Linked DNA regions of Tribolium castaneum. The protein of the gene in region 1 interacts with the protein of each later gene in a pairwise test. Links are inferred from orthologs where the notes say so. Each region holds a gene or a part of one and is shown in the gene's direction. Other genes may lie near its edges.

Region 1 (9,990 bases):
GATAGGTGTAGAGGGGTTTTAGAGATGGGATTTAGTGATAACGTGACTATAAATTATTGGACTTTTTTGAGCATTAAATTTGAAACAATTATCACAATTGCATGTACAATGACGACAATGAATCATAGTTTAAGTAATCGTGTTACGTATTTCGTGATTATTGTTTCATGGTTACGTTTTCATTGACACTTGAAGTATTGTACAAGCGTTAAAAACAGTACAAAACCGTAGGTAATGATTGGAGAAAGTAGGCAAATTGTTTTCTCCTAACTACTGAAACAGGGAAAACTATCAAGATACAATTTTCACATATGTATTTTGTCCAATTGGTACCCCTGATCTTCTTAAAACAATGGCTAAACAATTTTTTGTTAGCTAAACTATGAGCAATACCAAAAAATATCTGACGATAGTTCTCGTGTTAGTGTTACATTTTTGAAGGAATAGTTTCAAGCTTAAAGCTTAATTTCAAAGTCCACTAGCAATGTCAAGTGCTTTAGTATACAGGAGATTCAAAAGTATTGGACAATCTCTACGAGATAACTAAATTAAAAGTTCCTACGGCAAGAAATTGTTTGGACCCTTTTTTCACGAGATATACAGGCTGATTCAAAAGTACCGTACAAGCTGTCAAACACACATCAAACTGAATTATATGACAAAATTTTTTTTAAGCTTTTTTGCGAGATATGGCGGAAACAACAGCTCTTGCATCATTAAAGAAACACAATTAATGTCTAATGAAAAACATTTAAAAAACTTGCAAATTTGACATCATAGGAAACAAAAGAGCAACAATCAATACCGTTGCCAAGGAAAACATATTAGAAATTAGGTATGTCCAACACTTTGAATCACACTGTATTAATAGTGACATCTTAAGGCAAAATTCATTGGCGGTAGAAATTTAAATTTTGTTGGCAGCTGAGTTTATAATTTGTAGTAAATGAATTAGTTGTATGAATAAAAATATAGCAAAAGCTTTTATTAGTTTTATCTTTTTCTGTCTGATAAAATATATATTACTTTATCTTTTACTATTTCAAGTAAAAGTATTTATTTCCTTAGCTTTATTTAAACGCTCTATTGTTTAAACAATTTGATAACTACTTTTTTTTTTTCAAAGATCAGATTAACGATCGGATATAACTTGTACCATGCGATCATTTGAATTTATATTTATAATTATAGTAGGCGTTTATTTATGATTGAAAAACTTGTCCAAATTGAGGGGAAAATTCATACTAAAATCAATACTAATTGTGATAATCAGTGTTTTTACGTAAGTTAAAAAAAGTATCAAAGCCTATTCTAATTATAAATTTAAATGATCACATTTTACCTGTGTTTATAAAGATTTTAAAGATCTGAATACACTATTATATAAATTAGACTTGTCACTTTTTAAAGCCATATTGGTTTCGACATTAAAAGTGCAGATTTTTAGTCCATTTCCGCTGATTTTAATTCTTTTTCGTCTGCAATGCATTAGTAGCAAAGAACTTTGTTGTTTTTGTTCTTGTTCTCTTCATTTTTTCGGCTTATAACCTTGAATTTGAAGGATTCCAACATTGTATTCTGTTATCTAGTCCAATTTATTTATGAATCAGCGCTGTCGAATGATAACATACCCAATATTTTAATACTACAAAAACAATACGTTTTTCGTTGAAATACCTCCACTTTTGACAATTTCTTACTTATAATCGAACTATGGGTGTTTTTGGCTGTTTATTTTTGCCAAAAACGACGATTTTCACACTTATTTCGTTAAAATTCATTGGTATTTCATTTTTATCACTTTCTTTACAAATCAAATAAATCTTCTGGAAATAATTCGGAACATTTTATTGTCAGGGAACGGCATTTCTCCCACTTGTTACATAAAAATGAGTCAAAAATCGCAATAACCACACGAGTCTTCATTTCCAGTGGTAACTTTATAATTGGGGATTTCAGTATTGTGCTGTGAAATAGTTTATCCCCTAGAAGATGACTTAACTGTGTTACCGTCCAGATATAACTATTCGATCTCTTCGGGCTCTATTTCCTTGTTCTCAAGGAAATTTAGCAAATATTTCCAGTTCATAGACGCCTTTCTAACTTCTAAAGAATCTGAACTGTAAAAAAGGCGTCCCCAAAAAATAACAGTCTATAACCACTCTACAATCTCGCTTAGTTTTAGAGACTATAACGTAAATTGTTGTTGAGTTACAATTTCTAGATTAGCTAACTAACCAATCTGACGTAAAACAGTCCTTTTTGAACGCATATTGCATTTTATCTCTTGGACTCATTGTTTGAGAGGTCGTTGATTAGTTTGGGTCAAATAGTAGTGTTAGTCACAGCAATCTCCGACCTTGTTTTTTCCCACTTTGAATAATGCATTAAGCGCGTAATTTTCCATGTAGGGATCATCGATTGCCTGGTCCGTATCCCCAAAGAACAGGGATTCTTCAGTTTCTGGCGTGGAAATCTCGCCAACGTGATCCGTTATTTCCCAACCCAGGCATTGAACTTCGCCTTCAAGGATGTCTACAAACAGATGTTCTTGGGCGGTGTTGACAAAAACACCCAATTTTGGAGGTATTTCGCCGGTAATTTGGCGTCAGGTGGTGCCGCTGGTGCGACATCACTTTGCTTCGTCTACCCTCTAGATTACGCTCGTACTCGGTAGGTTTTTAAATTGTTAAGTTCCTCAGCTATATGTAATCATTTTTGATAGTTTGGGCGCCGATGTCGGCAAAGGCAAGGGCGAAAGGCAGTACACCGGCCTTCTGGACTGCATTAAGAAGACAGTGAAATCGGACGGACCGATCGGTTTGTACCGAGGTTTCGTTGTCTCAGTGCAAGGTATCATCATCTACCGTGCCTCCTACTTCGGCTTCTTCGATACTGCCAAGGGAATGTTGCCCGATCCCAAGAACACACCGTTCCTCATCTCATTCCTTATTGCACAGGTAATTATATTGGACTCCAACCGGTGAACTGATTGATGGGCAAAGGACACACACCTAACCTTTGATTTGTTGTTATTTCCAGTTGCTGAAGCTGAAAAAGTGAAAGCAATTGATCCGAAGACCTATATCCTGAAATAGTAAGGTATCCCTCGTTACGAAATAGTGTCGTAACATTCCTCTCTTATCTGCTTCCAATTGTGGACGTGCGACGAGATAACTCTTATCACAATTGACCTTTGTGTAATAGAGTTCAGAACTATATTGTAACAGTTTTTTTGCACCATAAACAATTGCGATAAGATTAGATCGTCTGTTCCTATAAGAATTGAATGAATTTGTCCTTGAAGTTATTACACATGATGTGTTACACAAAACTGAGCCTACTTTGATGACTCTAGTTTACCACTACCCATTAACTGATGTCATTGATTGACTATCAGTTGTTAGTGATTTGTTTGATGTGTGTATTGATGACGTTTTTCTTGCCAGTGCGTAACGACAGTTTCTGGAATTACGTCATATCCATTCGACACCGTCAGAAGGCGTATGATGATGCAGTCTGGACGCGCTAAAGCTGATATTATGTACAAGAATACGTTGGATTGCTGGATCAAGATCGGCAAAACCGAAGGCCCAACTGCCTTCTTCAAAGGAGCGTTCTCTAACGTTCTCCGTGGCACTGGCGGAGCTTTGGTTCTTGTACTATACGACGAGCTTAAAGCTTTGCTCTAAACAGAAATAGTAGAATTATTACGGTTTAAATTATTAATTGTCTCATAATTTATTTGTTTCATTCCGTGGTTGATGCATTTTTTAGGCCGACATTCCTTTTTTTAACACTATCAGGCGCAGGAATTTACATTCCAGCAATTTTTTTTCGTTACACGGTTTTAATAATGGCATTGTAAGCTGAAGTATTGATAGCCCTGTATTTTAAATCCTGTATATTTTAACAGCCGTTTACCAATAAACAGTTGTGATAAGTTACTTTATTATTGTTTTTTTTCGTTATTGTTGGTAGTGTGAGACGTAATAAAGTTGTTAATATAGTTGAGGTCACGTGGTTTTATTCAGTTGTCGAATGCATTTCGTTGACCGCAAAACAATGTAAAAAAGTTGTCTTGTAAATGAGCTTGATTTGTGTAAATTCGGCAATAAAGACACTCGTAATCACTCAAGTTTTTCTCACGCAGACCCATTTTTTTAGGCAAATTTAAAATGAATAGCGTCCGTTAGCATTTTACAAAATTTAAAATTATCTAGGGACTTTTATTGTTGCTCTAACAAAGCGAGTAACAGTTAATACCAACCAAAATATTTCAAAGGGGTGGCTTTTATAAATTGGCTAAATCGGCCTTATTCATTTGCCTGCTAAATCCTTCTTTCTGGATTTAGTTTAAGAATCCCTTCAATAAAAAGTTTTATCAATTTCAAGTGCCAGAAGGCACAAATGTAGGGACATCTGACGTTTTTGGTTTAGTACCAACGTAGCTGTCATTTACCTGTCAAACAAAAGGATTGGCCCCAATTTTGCAAAAATGGCCCAAATCGGCGAACCATTGACCCTCCACCGAGGTAATCACATTTTTACTTAATTTTACGCAATTTTCCAACGTTTGTCATAGACATTAAGCGTTCCGTTGAGCTTTTGGAGAAGCTCCAGAAAAGTGGCGAAGTCCCGGCTACTAAACTCGCGGCCCTTCAGAAAGTCCTCCAGAGCGACTTTCTGAATGCAGTGCGCGAGGTCTACGAGCACGTTTACGAAACTGTTGATATTCAAGGGTCTCAAGACGTGCGAGCCTCTGCCACTGCTAAGGCCACAGTTGCAGCTTTCGCAGCCAGTGAGGGACATGCACACCCCAGAGTCGTGGAACTGCCAAAGACTGAGGAGGGTTTAGGGTTTAATGTGATGGGGGGAAAGGAGCAGAATTCCCCCATTTATATTTCTAGGATTATTCCGGGGGGTGTGGCGGATCGGCACGGGGGGCTGAAGCGAGGGGATCAGTTATTGAGTGTCAATGGAGTGGTGAGTGAGGTTTGATAAAGGGGTAAATATTAATAATTGTGGGGTAGTCTGTTGAAGGAGAAAACCATGAAAAGGCAGTGGAGTTGTTAAAACAGGCCCATGGCTCTGTCAAATTAGTGGTGAGGTACACCCCCAAAGTCTTGGAGGAGATGGAGTTAAGGTTCGACAAACAGAGGGCGAGAAGACGGCAGCAGTACAATTAAAAATAACTAGACAGAGTAGCCTATGACAAAGAAATTAAGTTGGCCACACTGAATTATTAGTAGTTTGAATTTGATAGTCAAAGTTAGAAACCCAAATTTCAAAGTCATAGGCTACTTTGACCAGACATTTAACCGAAATATGGTATTACATATTATTATTATTAGATTGTGTTGCATTTAAGGAATGATTGTATAGTTAGCACGATGTGCACTGGTCTCTAGAAGTACTGAATCTCAAGTACCCGTGTATTGACAAGTAATCCAAGTATTACATGTTTCCATTTTTTTTGTTATTTATGTTGTATTAAATAAATAATTACAAAAAACAAAATGGTTTCTTTGTTTTTTAATAAAATTTATTAAGTAACTCCCAACGTTGTATTTTACCGAATTATTTTTTAAATAAGGTTGATAAAAAATTTAAAAAAATTATTAAGGATTAACTTTCTCATTGAAACTATAAATTACATTAGACATCAATTTTTTGAAGTGCATAAACAATGCGCCGGTGGCGTTTTTATAGTTTTGAAACAGCTAATACGTGAGATAAACGTTGAGTATCAACAATTAATTGAAATAAAAGGTTTTGAGCCTTTTAAGTCGAACCTTACAAAGCCCACAACTACGGATCAGGGATTTTCGTTGAAAGTGAATGTGGTATTGAGACTTCTGTTACTTACACTTAAAATATTAAACACAACACTGGTTAGTTGTGGTGATTCGAATAAAAAAAATTGTATTCACAATTCGCGGCTTTCCTTTAGGGATTTTTGTGTGCGACTAGATTGGCAACGCTGGAAAAACACTGAGTAGCCGCCAAAAGTCATGGGTGGCTTCGTTTTTGTCTATTTTTTTAATTTGTCTGATTTCGTGTTTTCCTAGACTTGTGACTGTGTTAAACTAAAAGTTCAAAGTTCTAAGACCAATTATGTGAACAATTAGTGCCCAAAAGTGCAAAGACACTCAATAACGACCCGATTCCACCGCTTCCTGTTGCCTATTCCTGCTTTGCGTCCTTTTCTCCAATACAAGGTCAGTTTTTCCTTTTGTAAAATCCTTGAAATCAAGCTTTTTTAAACGAATTCACCACCAATGTGAATTTGACAATTAAATTTGAGCCCTTGAATGTGTAATAATGCTTGTAACCCTTTTCCTCGAAACATGTCATAAATGACTAAATGAGGCTCTTTATTAATCCTTTGGTCCCTATTTTGCAGAACCAGTAACAACTTGTTGATTTTTGTGGTAAAAAAGTTTTCACCCTTAACTTGCATATGCAACCATATAAACAAGCGTGCATAAATGTCACCAAGTTTAAAAAATAAAAATAAGGCCCAAACAATTTAAATTAATATAATTTTAATATTTCGCCTATTAACGATGGACACAGTTGCGTTTTATGAGAAAAAATGCATCTCAACAAAGGTTTAAACTTAAAATCGTGAGATAACCAAAGTTGCACCCCACGAAATTTTTGCATGGTCCCAAGGCTCAAAAGGGGGGCTTCAAAATAAAAAGAAGAAAAAAGACAGCCCCGGGCAACGGCTTCGGTTACAGAGGCATTTTTAGTTTTCCAAAAAAAAACTCCTAGGCTAGAACAAAACGATTTGTTCAAGCGAAATTTGATTTTTACGAGTTTTTGGATAAATTATCAGGCAGTTTAATTTTTTATTCTCACCAGCAGCAATTTTAAACGCTTTTATCTCGAAAACCATTTACTGGGGAGAATTTTAACTTATCAGCAAAATTATTTTTTGAAATTCGTTCCAAGAACATTTTATGCACTTTCAGTTTCACCGAGATTTTAGTCGATTTTTACTTTGAGCAGAACCTATTTATTTTTGAAAAATCAAGTAAAATAAGTGTAATATCACGTCGTCTATTTAATTTTTTCAAGTTTTGGTTAAAGTTTTAAGTAGAATTTCTAACTCACGTAAGTATTTTCTCCTGTGGTTCAGTATCAAGTATCCATCACGTATTTTATATTTTAATCGAACACACTTTATTCTACGACTGCTTGAGTTCGACTAAACACCCTTTACGTTTGATTTGAAAACACCAACTGAAATGTATTTTCTTGGAAATCGAGAATAGTCCGAAAAAATCGGCGAATTAAAACATCTCATGACACGTGCACGGGCGGCGTATAAAGGGACAGATTCCCGGTATTCCAGAGAGTACCAGGAATCGAATAATTATTTAAACTGGGGAATGAAACTCGGGTTGGTTAATACTTAACATAATTTATTATATTAAAATATATTTAATTTATACAACTCTGAAATAGAATATTTACAACAACCATGTAAAACGCTTAAGGTACAAGACCTACGGTAAGATTTGATTTTAACCTGCCTAATACGAACATTGCATTTCATGTCCCATTAGCCTCACAACAAAATACCTTACATTAATACAAACTTATCGACGAAACTTTCCTCCGATAAGCGACACAGTCTTAAATTTCCTCAACATTTTCGTGTTTTCCCAATTTATAATCAGCGGAAATTTTAAACACATTTTGCCTCGCTATTAGTAAATGTTAGTTTTTGCAAAAATCGTGCAGGAAATGTGTGTGCGTCTCTGTGTATGTATTAGTGTAACTACATGCAAATACACCTCCTTACAAAACTAAGATGGGAGCGCAAATGTACAATCTTAACCTACATTAGGAACAATTCTATCATTTATATTTACATACAACTGGGGAAAATTCGTTGGTCGATAGAACCGTTCTAGGCAATATTTCTGTGAAAAATCATTTTCAGTATACTATACTATGAGGTAATTTAAAATAGGTAAGTGTCGGATGTGTCGAAATAAATATTGATTTATGATTGATGAATTTTATGATTAAATGGACCGGTGATTATAAATTGGCTAGTTTTCTTCCACTTTTTATGTTGTTGTAACTGGTCCTTTCGGTTTGATCATCATCATGGCCTTCTTCAGCGTGTAGTCCCAGCCTCTCCACCGGAACCAGACTATACCTGCAATTTTTTTTAGTCAAAAGCAATAAAATAAAAATGGTTTTCTCGCAGTTTCGAAGTTTGCCAGTATTTTTTGAAACACCCTGTATTTCCAGAAAGGGGTCGTTTACTGGTATTAATAGTTGTACATTTTGAAATTTTTTTGAAATTTTTCGGAAGTAGGTATTTTGGAATTAGGTACTTACTGGAAATACTTTTGGAATTACTAGAATTCTTTTTGGCATTGCTTGGCATTACTTGGAATGGAAATTACATTGATTTTCTTCGAAGTTAAAGTTACGGGAATTCAAGTTGAATTTAAAGGAACTCATCTGGTTTTACTACAGATTTTCGGAATTGTTGGAATTTTTGTGTCATTTTTGATAATTTCAGGAATTTCACTTGTGGATAAATCATTTGTGAATTACTGGATTTTTTTCTGAAATTATTGGAATTCTTTCAGAATTATCCAGATTGCTATAGGAATTATTTTGGAATTACGAAAATTAATTTGTAATTATTGAAATTATTTTGGAATTACTGGAATTTCCATGGATTTTTTTTTGGAGTTACTACAATTTCAGTGATGCCTTTTTCAAGGGTATAAGTACATTTTTCAGCTTAAAATTAAGTTTTTCCGATATTTCACTAAACCAAGTAAAAAAATCCCTATTTCTTTCAGTGTTTTAGTTTACTCTTCGATTAGAAACTCAAAAACTAACCAAATTATTTTGAAAACGGGGCTACTTTTACACTTTATGGAGTGTTTAAACACTGATTTTTTAATAAAAACGCAGTTTTTTGAGAAATTTTATGAAATCGTGTTAATAAATTCTATAATATATGGACTGTTTAAATATATTTTAGCTCATTTTTTTCTGGAAAATTCAATAATTTCTCACAGAAATTTTGACGAAAATAAGTCGAAAATCGACGGACGCGTTAACAATTTCCCAAAAAATTGCAAAATTGGTTGAAATTAATGTTACTGTTATTTTTTCAAGGACTTGAACAAAGTTGTTCAGCCAAAAACTCATTTTTGGGCAATTTTGTTTTTTTTTTCCTTCTTCGAGCATTTTATCTCGTTATTTAAACACTTATTATCAAATGAATTCAAATTTTTCAAAACAACTTAATTTGAAAATAGGAATCATTTGGAATTACGAAACATTTTTTTTGAACTTAGATTTAATTTGGAATTACTAGAATTTCCATTGTTTTTTTAGAGATATTTTAGTTTCACTATTGCCTTTTTCAAGGGTTTAATTTCGTTTTTCAGCTTGAAATTTAAATTTTTCCGTGATTTCAATAAAATAGCCAAAAAAAAAACACGAATTGTTTTTATCGGTTTAGTCGATTTTTCGGTCAAAAACGAAAAAACTCATCAAATTATTTGAAAAATGGAGCACTTTTTGCAATTTATCGAATATCTAAAATACTTTTTTTTTAATAAAACGTAGTTTTTTGTGAAATTTTTCAAAATCTGGCTAAAAAATTCTATGCTGGGTTGAAGAAAGTTGTACCTTATTATTCTGTTTATTGTAATTTTTTAATTCATTGAAAATTCAATAATTTCTTGCAATTTTGACGAAAATAATGCGAAAAATCTCCAAATGCTTAATTGTTTCGTGAAATTTCGATAAAAATTACCCAAAAAATTGCCAAATTGACTGAAAATAGTGTTACTGTTACCTTTTTTTTGAGGATTTAAACAATGTTGTTTAGCCAAAAACTATTTTTTTGGACAATTTTTGTCTCTTTTCTTTTTTCTCTTTTAAACACTTGTTATCACATTAATTTGAATTTCCTAGAACTACTGTAATTAATTTGGA
Region 2 (10,815 bases), about 25 Mb from region 1:
TTACAGACAACGCTTTAAAATTACATTCAAGATTGAACTAGTGGGAGTTAAATTCCTGTATCTAGTTTGCACTGCATTAAATTAATTAATCAGGAATTAAAATTTGATTGCAGTTCGGTGTTATGTACAGTAAATCTGACTTAAATCTACCAAAGAACTGAAAAACAAATCGTTTCAAACATAAGTTAGTGCTTCTTACGTTCCTGAATTTCACAGAAAAAAAAACATTTCAACTTTCGGAGATTATTCGTTTTATGCCTAATTTAGCACTTTTTGCATTACTTTTACAAAATGTTTCGCATTTGATAGTTTTTCAGTTTCTAAATTCATATCAACAAACGAAAAAAAAAATCGAATTTAGAAAGTTATTGTAAAAAGCTCTAACCTATGAAATAAGCAAGAATGATTCATTTTAGTGATTTACCTGCTTTTCTTTTAAGAAAACCTCTCAAAATTTGCGTGTTTTTCATTGAAAATCTCTTCTAAAATCGTAGAAAATCAGTTTAGTTTGGTCATTTTCCTTATTGTCCTTATTGAATTTTTTTTTTAATTTGTTGAGACTGAAAAAAATCAATCGAAAAGTCATATAATATAATATTAAAGCAAACGTATTTCTAATCTCTCGGATTTAGATTAGTTTCTAAATTGAAAATAACTTATTCCTGTGTTTTTTTTTAATATTTCAGTGCCTTTGACATAAACTAATACCGCTTTCAGACTTTGATCAGTGATTGTCCTACTTTTATTTTGGAAAAATTTCTTAATATTGTAAACAAAATAACACAATTTTGTGATTTTTCCTAAAGTTTTAAATTCAGTAAGATCAAAGCCAAACCAAACATACTTCAAGTCTAATTTAGATCTAGAATCTTTTTTATAAACAGATGAAAATAGCGCATTTTTAAGTTAAATTAAATTGTCTAGAACAGGTTGGCAAGCAATAGGTAGTTTTTGCTAAAAAAAAATCCAAATATACCGAGTTAGTTTAATCATTTTTCGCTTATGTTTTGAAATCTTTACAATTTTTTCCTCTCTCATTAAAAAAAATACTTAAATTTTTGATTGTGTCTTTAGAGCTTTTTGATTTTGTTTTTTTCACTGTAAACGGGCGCTGTCTAGCCTAAAATTTTAGTCCTGCGTGCTCATAAACTTACGACTCCGGAACTCTATTTTGTGTAATGAGAAAATTTAGAACGGTCAGTGTCGGTTCACAAGACGTAATTACAATTGTTTTTTGCTGGCAAAAAATAAAATTTGGTCGCAATTCTGGCAAGACTCGACCCATAAAGAGAAATAAACATTTTTGGGGACTTGCTTTAAATACTTACTTAAAAAATAAATAGTTTAATATATTTTGTAAAAAGTTAATTTATTTTAGTAATTTATATTTTAGTGTTTAAGTGTGCAGATGCGTTAGATATTTATTTTTTGAAATTTGCATAATTGGAGCAAAATATGAGTTTATTTTATTATATAATGATGAAACAAATGAGATAACTAAGAATACACCAAAGTCACTTGATAGGTTTAATTGTAATCGACGACGTGTTGTAATAATAGTGACAAGACGAGGACGACAGCCACTGTGTTTTTTCAGTGCAATATTACAATTCCTGTTTTAGCTAGGTTTAATAGGCGTGTTACATGGAACTTAATAGAAATGGTCAGTTACTATCAGTATTTCGTATTCAGTTGGTCTCCTTTTGTAAATGGTTTAATTTATTTAGTACATATTGTAAAGAGAAATGTAAATGTATTTAAAGATGAGATATTGCTTTGTTGATTATTCTGCCTTTAGCTTCTGTATTTCCAGTCGCGGCAAACAGGTGTTACATATTGTAGCGCGCGAACTAAATCAAAATTTTATGAAAAAACTATCTGTTGTAAATCTAGAATATGTGGTAATCTGTTTGTTGAGTATGCATTTCCACTTGGTAAGAAGCTATGATTTACCGACTTGTAGCAATGCCAAATGTATTATATGTTACAATGTAGCAACAATAGTGAATGTAGGTGTTGTGTATGTACAAAGTGTAGTGCAACTCGAACATAAAGACAAACTTCAGTGCTGCTGCAACACAATTATTTGCGCCTCAGTTCACCAAATAGCACACATTGATTAACATGATAAATAAACATTTATACTTTCAGCTAGTGTTAGGAGTCACGGAGCCAACAAAAATTATTTTTGTGATTTGTTTAGATGATAGGATATGAAATAATGTACAAAATTTATATAAAACTTGTAAATGTAGAAGAGAAATTATTACGATTTAAATGAAATTATAAATGCCTTCCTGCCATTTATGGGTCTACCACGCTCGTCGTTTGACTTTTGCATGAGGTGATATGATATTTTTCAAAAAGTGGCCTTTAAACTTTCAGTACTTGTTTGGATCTCTCTGCACAAGGTGATGCACTTTGCTGGCCCCACTTAAAACCTCCGATAACCACATTCTGGAGCTCTTTTGGAAAAAATAATTTAGGCAAAACCGCTATCTACTTTTGTAGACTTATTATAAACAAAAGCTTTATTTTAGCTAAGTCTTAAAAAATTCACATCTTCCTTATTATAAAAGATATCCATTTGAAACAAAAACGTTTTACAGACACTTTTTGACAAGAACTAATAATGTAACTGACGATTTTTTTGCCATTGTTTTAACTATTTTTTAAAAGAAAGTCGTAGGTGGCCCTGACATTTTTAAAAAGCTTACCTTTTCTGATTTCTTTGTCTATTTGTTTTTAAACAAATTAAAAAAAAAACATAATTTGCTTTTTGTTTGTAGTAGGCCATGTAAAAATATTGAATTGTATTAAATCTATAACGCGAGGTGTAACATACAATATTTTTTGTGCTTTGTGGAAAAAGTCTTTAAATGTCAATAAAAGGGAGATTAATTTTTTTTATAAGTTTAAAAGTCAAAAAAAGCATAGTGGGCTGTGGGTTTTGCTGAAATTATTTTGAGAAAAAAGAAATGTTTGGACGTGCAGAGTGCGGCACCCTGTACATCTCCCGGTTTGAGTTTTTAGTAGGTTTTTCGGTTCAAAGACTAGGCTTAATGTGTTCAAAAACGAGTAAAGTAGTAAGTGCCTTCCAAACTATGACCACTTATGTCATCCGAGACACAAAATTGTTATTGAACAAAATTGCATTTTCATCTGTTTTTTGGTATGGTATCACCCTGAATGGCATGTTCTTTTTCATATCTCTGTAAATTACATTTATATACATACATACCTAACTTTATTATAATTATGTAAGCAAAAGTGATGTGAGATTGGCGGCAGTTTTTAGATATGATGTATAACCACTCAAAATTCAGGTAAAAGCTTTATTTTAATGTATACTATTAAAACATAATATAGTTCGATGTTAGTGCAAATATAACATAGCATACCTAAAGTTATAAATAGCCTCTTTAGTCAGTATGCAATAATTATTATCATTCAAGTTGTGCTACTCGTAGAGACAGTCTGAACTTACATGCAATCGCCCAGTTGTATGCATCAGTCATATTATATGTGCAGTCTCTTTATTTATATTTTTATAAGACTTGCGTTCAGTCTACATTCTTTACATGATTTATGCACATTATTATTACTATTATTTTATGTCTGTATGGTAAATAAGAATAAATTGTAAAAATTCAAACATGAACTCGACTTTTACTCCATTTCTTTTAAACTTGGCTGTTTTATTCCGTAACATTCTGATAACCCGACAGGTGGCACTTACAGGTTTCCCTAACACTTTGCTTAAAATCTGTAATCCTTGAGATAAGCATTTATAATTTCTGATGCTTTTTTCCAATATAGAAAGCACCAAGGAGAAAATACAAGCTTGCGCTGTCTAAGCAACACATATACCTTTAAAGTGATTGGTGAACTTCTTACCACCAACCCGATTAAACCAAAAATGCAGTAAAAATAAATTATTTTTCTATTTGATTAAATTTATTTAAAACGAGTTATAAAACGCTCCAAAAACAAAATAGTTTTTAATAATACGAGTGTATACGAGTCCGAGGGTTGTCGTTATGCAACGAGCGTACGCGAGTTGCTTACCTAGACACTCGAGAACTTTAAGCGTTTTCGCATAAGTGTTTTTCAATTTTTTTTTGGTGGAACATTGTATTTTAAAAATACTGAAAACACTTAGCTATCTGAAACGTGTTTCAAAATAGTGTTTATAATCTAGGATTCAGACAATAAAAAGAAGTCAATAAAATGTTACCAACACAAGAAAAGTCATTTTTGCTCTTTTACTTGGATTATTATGTGTTTTAAGTAATTTTAAGAACCTGGATATTTTACTTGAAATTCCGCACAGCTTCATAAAGCGTCCATAAATAAGTGGACTAGTTTTTTTTATAAATATCTTACCTTAAAAATTGGCCATTTTATGTGGTCACATAAAATTTTCCAATTCATATAACTGTTTTAAAGCTTTAGGGTACTGAAGTAGTACCGAAGCGATTGTTTTTATCTTCTTCATCAAATAAAACAGACTCATATACTCATAATACAAACTTCAATACAGGAGAAAATCGCATATAAACCTATTAAGTAATATGTAAATACATTTTTACGTAAGACATCAGACAGGGTTGAAATTTTTTTATCATTTTTTTTTAATATTTATCTACGTAATTTGTTGAGTTGAAAAAAATACTGGGGAAGGACCATAAATGAAATTAAAAGAGAGTTATGAAACGTTTCGTTTTATTACATGACATCATCAGGCTGAAGACCAAGTTATTATTACAACGACAATTGAAAAATATAAAACTTAAATTGTCGATGTTATATTTTTGTTCTTCAGCCTGATGATGTCTTATGTAATAAGACGAAACGTTGCATAATTCTCGTTTGGTTTCATTTGTGGTCCTTCCCTAGTAATTTTTCCAACTCTACAAATTTCAACTTTTGAAGGACGTTAAACTTGTGAGATTATTATCTACATAAGTACCTTAAAAAACGGTGGAGTACTTAATACTTTAACTGTTGTTCTGAACAGTTCCATGAGTTGAAAGCTTTTTAAATATACTTAGAAAACAGGTCAAAACCTAAGTTTTAGGCCTAAGTTTTATAACTCAAAAGAGTGCTAAAATTTTCGCAAAAATTTTTTTTTGCAAAATAATTTTATTTCGGGTAAAAAAACATACTAAAACAATGTAATAAAATTGTTTTAATCAATGGTCTTAATTTAGATTTTTGGTCCCACAAAAAAAATAGCTAAAAACATGGTAAAGTCATGAAAGAAAGTGTAGGTAACAGCATTGCCGACCTAAATTTGGTTTATTTTTCAGTAGTTCCCTTAACATAATTGCCTTTTTGGCTGTAAATTGTTGAAAGAAAACAAGTTTTTAATCCAAAAACTCTTGAAAAAGCAATACTCTACTTTTGAGATTTCCTTTTTTGCAATAATTTAAGCGTTTGAGAAAATGCAAATAATACGAGTGTGAAAGCACAAGCTTAAAGTTTAAGAGTTGTCGTTATGCAACAAGCATATGCGAGTTGCATACCTAGACACCCGAGAACTTTAAGCTTTTTCGCATAAGTGTTATTCAGTTTTTTTTTCTTGGAACATTTTAATTTAAAAACATGTTGCTATGGGAAACGTGTTTTAACATAGTGTTTATAATTTAGGGTTCACATATTGAAAAGAAGGCTTAAAATGTTATAAAAAAAAAATAACTGTTTGAAAAACAGCTCTCTAGGACCGCATGCGCCTGAATTTGGGGTTTGCGCTGCTATTTGTTGGTAGCATCGGCTGTCAGTCTGTCAGACGCCATGTTTGGAGTCGGAGATTTAGCAGATTAGGAAATAGACGATTTGGAATGGAATGTTGGTGATAAATCCAATAATAATTACCAAACCAGAAGGTATTTTAATCCTTTTAGTCGATTATCGACCCCCGAGTTGTGGTTGCACGCATGTCACTAGTCGTTGCATTTCTAGCACAGAACTGCAGTTTTTGTAAAAATAGATCTTTTGCTTGGATTGCAAAATATAATAGTCGTGGAACAATTACACACGCCTATTTAATAAACACCGACGATGTCAAGTCGTTGACTTTCCAGTCTTGTGCGTCACGCAATGTGCAAAAGTTCTGTTCAGTTTTCTAATTATTTTGTATTGCGGTTTTAACAGATGAGTTCTCAATTGTAGAATGACAGCGGAGCTAATGGCCAATGGAACTAAGGAAAAATGGGATCCAGGTGAGAGCGGATTAGTTCAGTTTTTTAGAGCGTTTTTTATGGTTTTGTAGATGCATGTATTTTTTAGAAATAAACGATTATTCCTATTTTTTATTCTTTCATTTATTTCTCACTTGAGGCGCTTCGTTTTACATAATCTTTTAATCAACGGCCACTAGATTATCAAGTTGGACGTCGCTTCGCGACGTCCAACTTGAAATACCCTATGTTACTCTAATCTGGTTCTTCAGCTTTGTCGCGCTTGTTGTCGTCTCTGCAGCAAGCCAAGGAATTGCCCTCAACGGAAGAAGATTTGGGATTTTTGAGTGAATTATTACAATCCAAGGAACTTCATGCCTTAGTTAACGTTCACAATAAGATAATCAGTAATGGCGCTAGCGATAAATTTTTCCCGATGTTGTCGACATCGATGCATGTTATGGTGGATGTTTTGGAAGTTTTAGCGGCTAAATTGCAAGTTTCCGAAGAATGCAAGGAGTTGTTTTATTTGCTTCAGAAACCTCACGTGCAGGTACAGTTGTACATGTTCTGTCATGTGTGTTGCATAACGTTGGGCGTTTGTGTACAAATTGTTTAGAATTGTGTTTTCTACACAAAGTTGGAATTCGGGACGAACAAGATTGTTATCAGTTGGGCGCTGAATAATAGTTCGAAATAAACTTAATCAATACTTTAGACTGCAGATTTTGTCCAAGGACATGCTTTCGCACACAAGCAAACAGGTTTCGTCCAAAAATGTTTTTTGCTGACCTGACCAAACCGTTTTCTCTAAGACCTTTATTTTCGGAATTTAGAATTTTTTTAGTGAAAAGCTAAATAGTTCTCGAAATGATAATAATTTTTGGCAAAAAATTTCGAAAATTCAACTTTTGTAAAAAACTAGTATACTGGGTGTCAGTTTTTCGAGAGTAATCTGAAAAAAAAATTTGTCATTTTTATTTAAATTAAAAATCTACAGGACAGCCTGTAGATATTACGTTAGATGAACCGTAAAATTCGCTGAAATAAACTATTTTGTTCTAGCTTTTTTAGTTGACGAGTTATGATTTTTTAGTGAAAAACTAAATAGCTGAAATTGCCATCATAATCTTTGGCAAAAAACTCAAAACTTCAAATGTAAAAAACTTGTTTAGATACCTATTACGTAAAATGAACCGTAAAATCCGCTGGAACAAACCATTTTGTTCTAGGAATTTTATTTTTAAAGGTAGATTTTTTATATAATCCGTTGCCCGGAACGGCTCTGGGTTTTAACAAAGAGTGATAATTTTAAATGCTTTATGCTTTTTTTTTTAGAAATTTTTTTCTAAATCTTATAGTTTTTGAGAAAAACGCAAAGAACATTTTGGAATGTTTACTTTTAAACGCCGATTACGGCGAAACTATTATAGCTATAGGAGAAAAAATCTTATTTCGTCGTGAAGAGCACATCAAAATATTTCAGAAGGGATGTGTTTCAATCAATTTTGAGATACTTTAAGTCCATTTTTATTATTTTCTCAATTACAACAAAATTATTTAAGAAAATGGAATTAGTTTGACCTGATACGAGGATGACTCAATGAATTGGCGTCAAATAATTGTAGAAAATTTAATTCTCTTATACATTTTCTTGTATTTTGATCGTGTTTGTAGTGGTTTTGTTTTCATATTGATTAATTTGACACAAATAAAATTTTTGGGTTGTGAAGTTCAAGTTATTTTGTATCTTATTTCATCTCCTTGCATAATGTTCTTCCTTGTTCAAATATTTTCTCAAATATAGTCTTATTTCATTTGAAAATATGTACGCGGTCATAATGAAATGAATGAAAATATCTTCAAGATTTGTACTTATGTTCATTTGTTTTTGAAATCTTAATGTGCACTACCTAAAAAATATGAGGGTCATTTAAACATGGTATGTTTTAGAATGACACCAGATATCATTATTGATTAATTTCAATATTTTTGAGAAAAACATAGATAAAGTATGTGTTTAACAACAAACCTGTTATTACTAATTTTTGATATAAATCAAAAAATACTTTCAGCAGAGTATATTTCACCTAAAGGTTTTCTATATCTTCAAATATTTGAAATTGTTTTTTCTAAGATTTCTTCCAATTTTCATCTTTCTCTGTCTTACTTTTGAACAAAACATTACGCCTCCATTATATCCAAATTAATTTTTTTAATCAGATAATGTTTCTGTTTTATTTTACATCAGCTCCTTTCGCTACTTTTTTCTTATCATTATTTTATAACCAATAATAAAACTAATAAAAATTAACATATTTCTCTACTTTCAGCAGAGTATATTTTACCTAAAGGTTTTCTATATCTTCAAATATTTGAAATTGTTTTTTCTAAGATTTCTTCCAATTTTCATCTTTCCCTGTTTTACTTTTGAACAAAACATTACGCCTCCATTATATCCAAATTCATTTTTTTAATCAGATAATGTTTTTGTTTTATTTTACATCTGCTTCTTTCGCTACTTTTTCCTTATCATTATTTTATGATCATTGATAAAACTAATAAAAATTAACATATTTCACCGAGAAATTCGTCGATTTTAGCTAAAATATGGCAAATTGTTGTTTTTTAAAAATGAAATTTATCCGAGGCAAATGCAAAGATGGTCGTTTAAGACTAAATTAGTGCGACGCAAATTATTCTTAAGCGATTTTTAAGACAGAAAACGTAAAAAATTACTTGTTTTAGTTAAACAAATGCGAAAACACTTGATCCAACCAAAATAAAGCACTTTGGACGACTATTTCCCAAAACAAAGTTATTCTTATTTTTTCCAGTAATTAAACAATTTTCGACAACTAGTAAACGTGGTCTGTAACAAGAGTAATATAATTACTTTATTACTTTAATTACCTTTATGATTTTGTCAAACTAACAAATAATTTTTTTTAATTATACGAAGAATTCTAAAACTTTTTACTTTCTTTGATTAATTTTAATAATTGTAAAAATTGTTAGTCTTGTAGTTATTTAATACAGACATTATTCGTTTAAAATTTGAAATCCATTAAAAAAACATTTAAAAAAGTTCAAATTGCTTGCTGAATTTACTACTTTAAACAGCTTTAATTTGTGATAGTTTTCAAGATGTACTTCACTACGGTTTGCGTCTGGCTCGCTATTTTAAACAATTTTTGCAAAGAGATGGTAAATCTGATGTTTTTCGGCATATTATCTTCTTATGGACCCTAATATTTGTTAACACACTTGTGAATTTTTAGTCATTCATCATAGCTTGAATAACAAAGTGAAGAAGAAGCTCATATCAATAAAAAAACTTAATGGGGTTACGCCTAATAATTCTGAAGTTATTATCCGATAAACGTTAACGCGTTAACCGCAAATCAAACATTATAAAATCGGTTCAGTTAACGTTGTTTGTACTTTTAAGGCTCTTAACGGGCTCTGGAGACCATAAAAAGTGCATAAACGTTCCTGGCCTGTGCTTTAACTCACATTTTTGAAAACAAAAATTTTCAGGGATTGCTATACTCCCACGACGCCATAGCCCAAAAAGATTATTACCCTCACTTGCCTGAAATACCTCAGGAGGCTGACGAAGACGAAGAAACCATAAAAATCGTGCAGCTCGTAAAAAGTAACGAACCCTTGGTGAGTATCCCCAACTTAATTAGCCTTAGTTTTGTCATGTCTTAAGCATAAGAAAATTAGTCCCATCCTCAAGTCTCAAATTCTTCCAACTAAATATTCACACAATAATTTTTGTTTCTTGCAAAGACTGGGGCACAAAGTGCTGAACCAATAGTCGTAAGTATTTACGAAACAACCAGTTTTCCTTTTTTAAATCTTCAATAGCTGTTTTCTCTGTTAAAAATGAAATTATCGATGTTTTGAATGCGTTTTTTCGTGTTCAGGGGGCCACGATAAAAACCGACGAAGAAACGGGTAAAATAATCATAGCGCGAGTGATGCACGGAGGGGCTGCAGACCGCTCCGGTTTGATTCACGTGGGGGACGAGGTCGTGGAAGTGAACTACATAAATGTTGAAGGCAAGACACCAAACGACGTTCTTAGTATTTTAGTACGGCTCTGTTTGATCGCAATTTGCGTAAATTAATTCGGGGATTTTAGCAAAATTCAGAGGGAACAATTACGTTTAAACTAGTCCCTGCTGACAGCAAAATGAACGTTCGGGAGAGCAAAGTGCGAGTGAGGGCCCATTTTGACTACGAGGCCTCAAACGATCCGTATATTCCCTGTAAGGAGGCAGGGTTGGACTTTCGAAAAGGCGACGTCTTGCACATCGTGTCGCAAGATGACGCTTATTGGTGAGTTCTTTTTTAATGGAAATTATATTTTTTTATTTTTGCATCTTAAAAGCTTTTAAACTGTTTTTCTGAAACGTTATCATTCTCTTACTGACTAGTGAGTACGGTATTTGGACATTAAAAGTTAATTCAATAGAATCGTTGAGTAATTTGGAGATTTTTTGTTTTATAAAATTTTAAACGTTGTTTAATGTTTAGTTTTCGAAAAAAGGCAAAAACGACACCAGTTTTGAGATAATTTTGGTCATTTTTTGCCATATTTTTGATGAAATTCTTCAAAATG

Evidence for each region.
Region 2: the proteins of veli (region 1) and metro interact in a two-hybrid assay, tested with the Drosophila melanogaster proteins (2 studies listed by BioGRID). The link is inferred for Tribolium castaneum from reciprocal best matches to the Drosophila melanogaster genes veli and metro.

What each region holds. Positions count from the first base shown.
Region 1 is NC_087394.1:2,336,074-2,346,063, reverse strand, and holds veli (protein lin-7 homolog C), read left to right. Parts: upstream 1-4,377; 5' UTR 4,378-4,498; coding exon 4,499-4,535; intron 4,536-4,585; coding exon 4,586-4,986; intron 4,987-5,033; coding exon 5,034-5,189; 3' UTR 5,190-5,520; downstream 5,521-9,990. Other genes in the region: ADP,ATP carrier protein 1, read left to right, coding at 2,412-2,673, 2,726-2,960, 3,450-3,692; angiopoietin-4, read right to left, coding at 8,088-8,179.
Region 2 is NC_087394.1:26,893,091-26,903,905, reverse strand, and holds the start of metro (MAGUK p55 subfamily member 7), read left to right. Parts: upstream 1-5,652; 5' UTR 5,653-5,854; exon of another isoform or gene 5,855-5,888; intron 5,889-5,906; 5' UTR 5,907-6,175; coding exon 6,176-6,224; intron 6,225-6,454; coding exon 6,455-6,735; intron 6,736-9,722; coding exon 9,723-9,854; intron 9,855-9,980; coding exon 9,981-10,010; intron 10,011-10,117; coding exon 10,118-10,285; intron 10,286-10,335; coding exon 10,336-10,532; intron 10,533-10,815.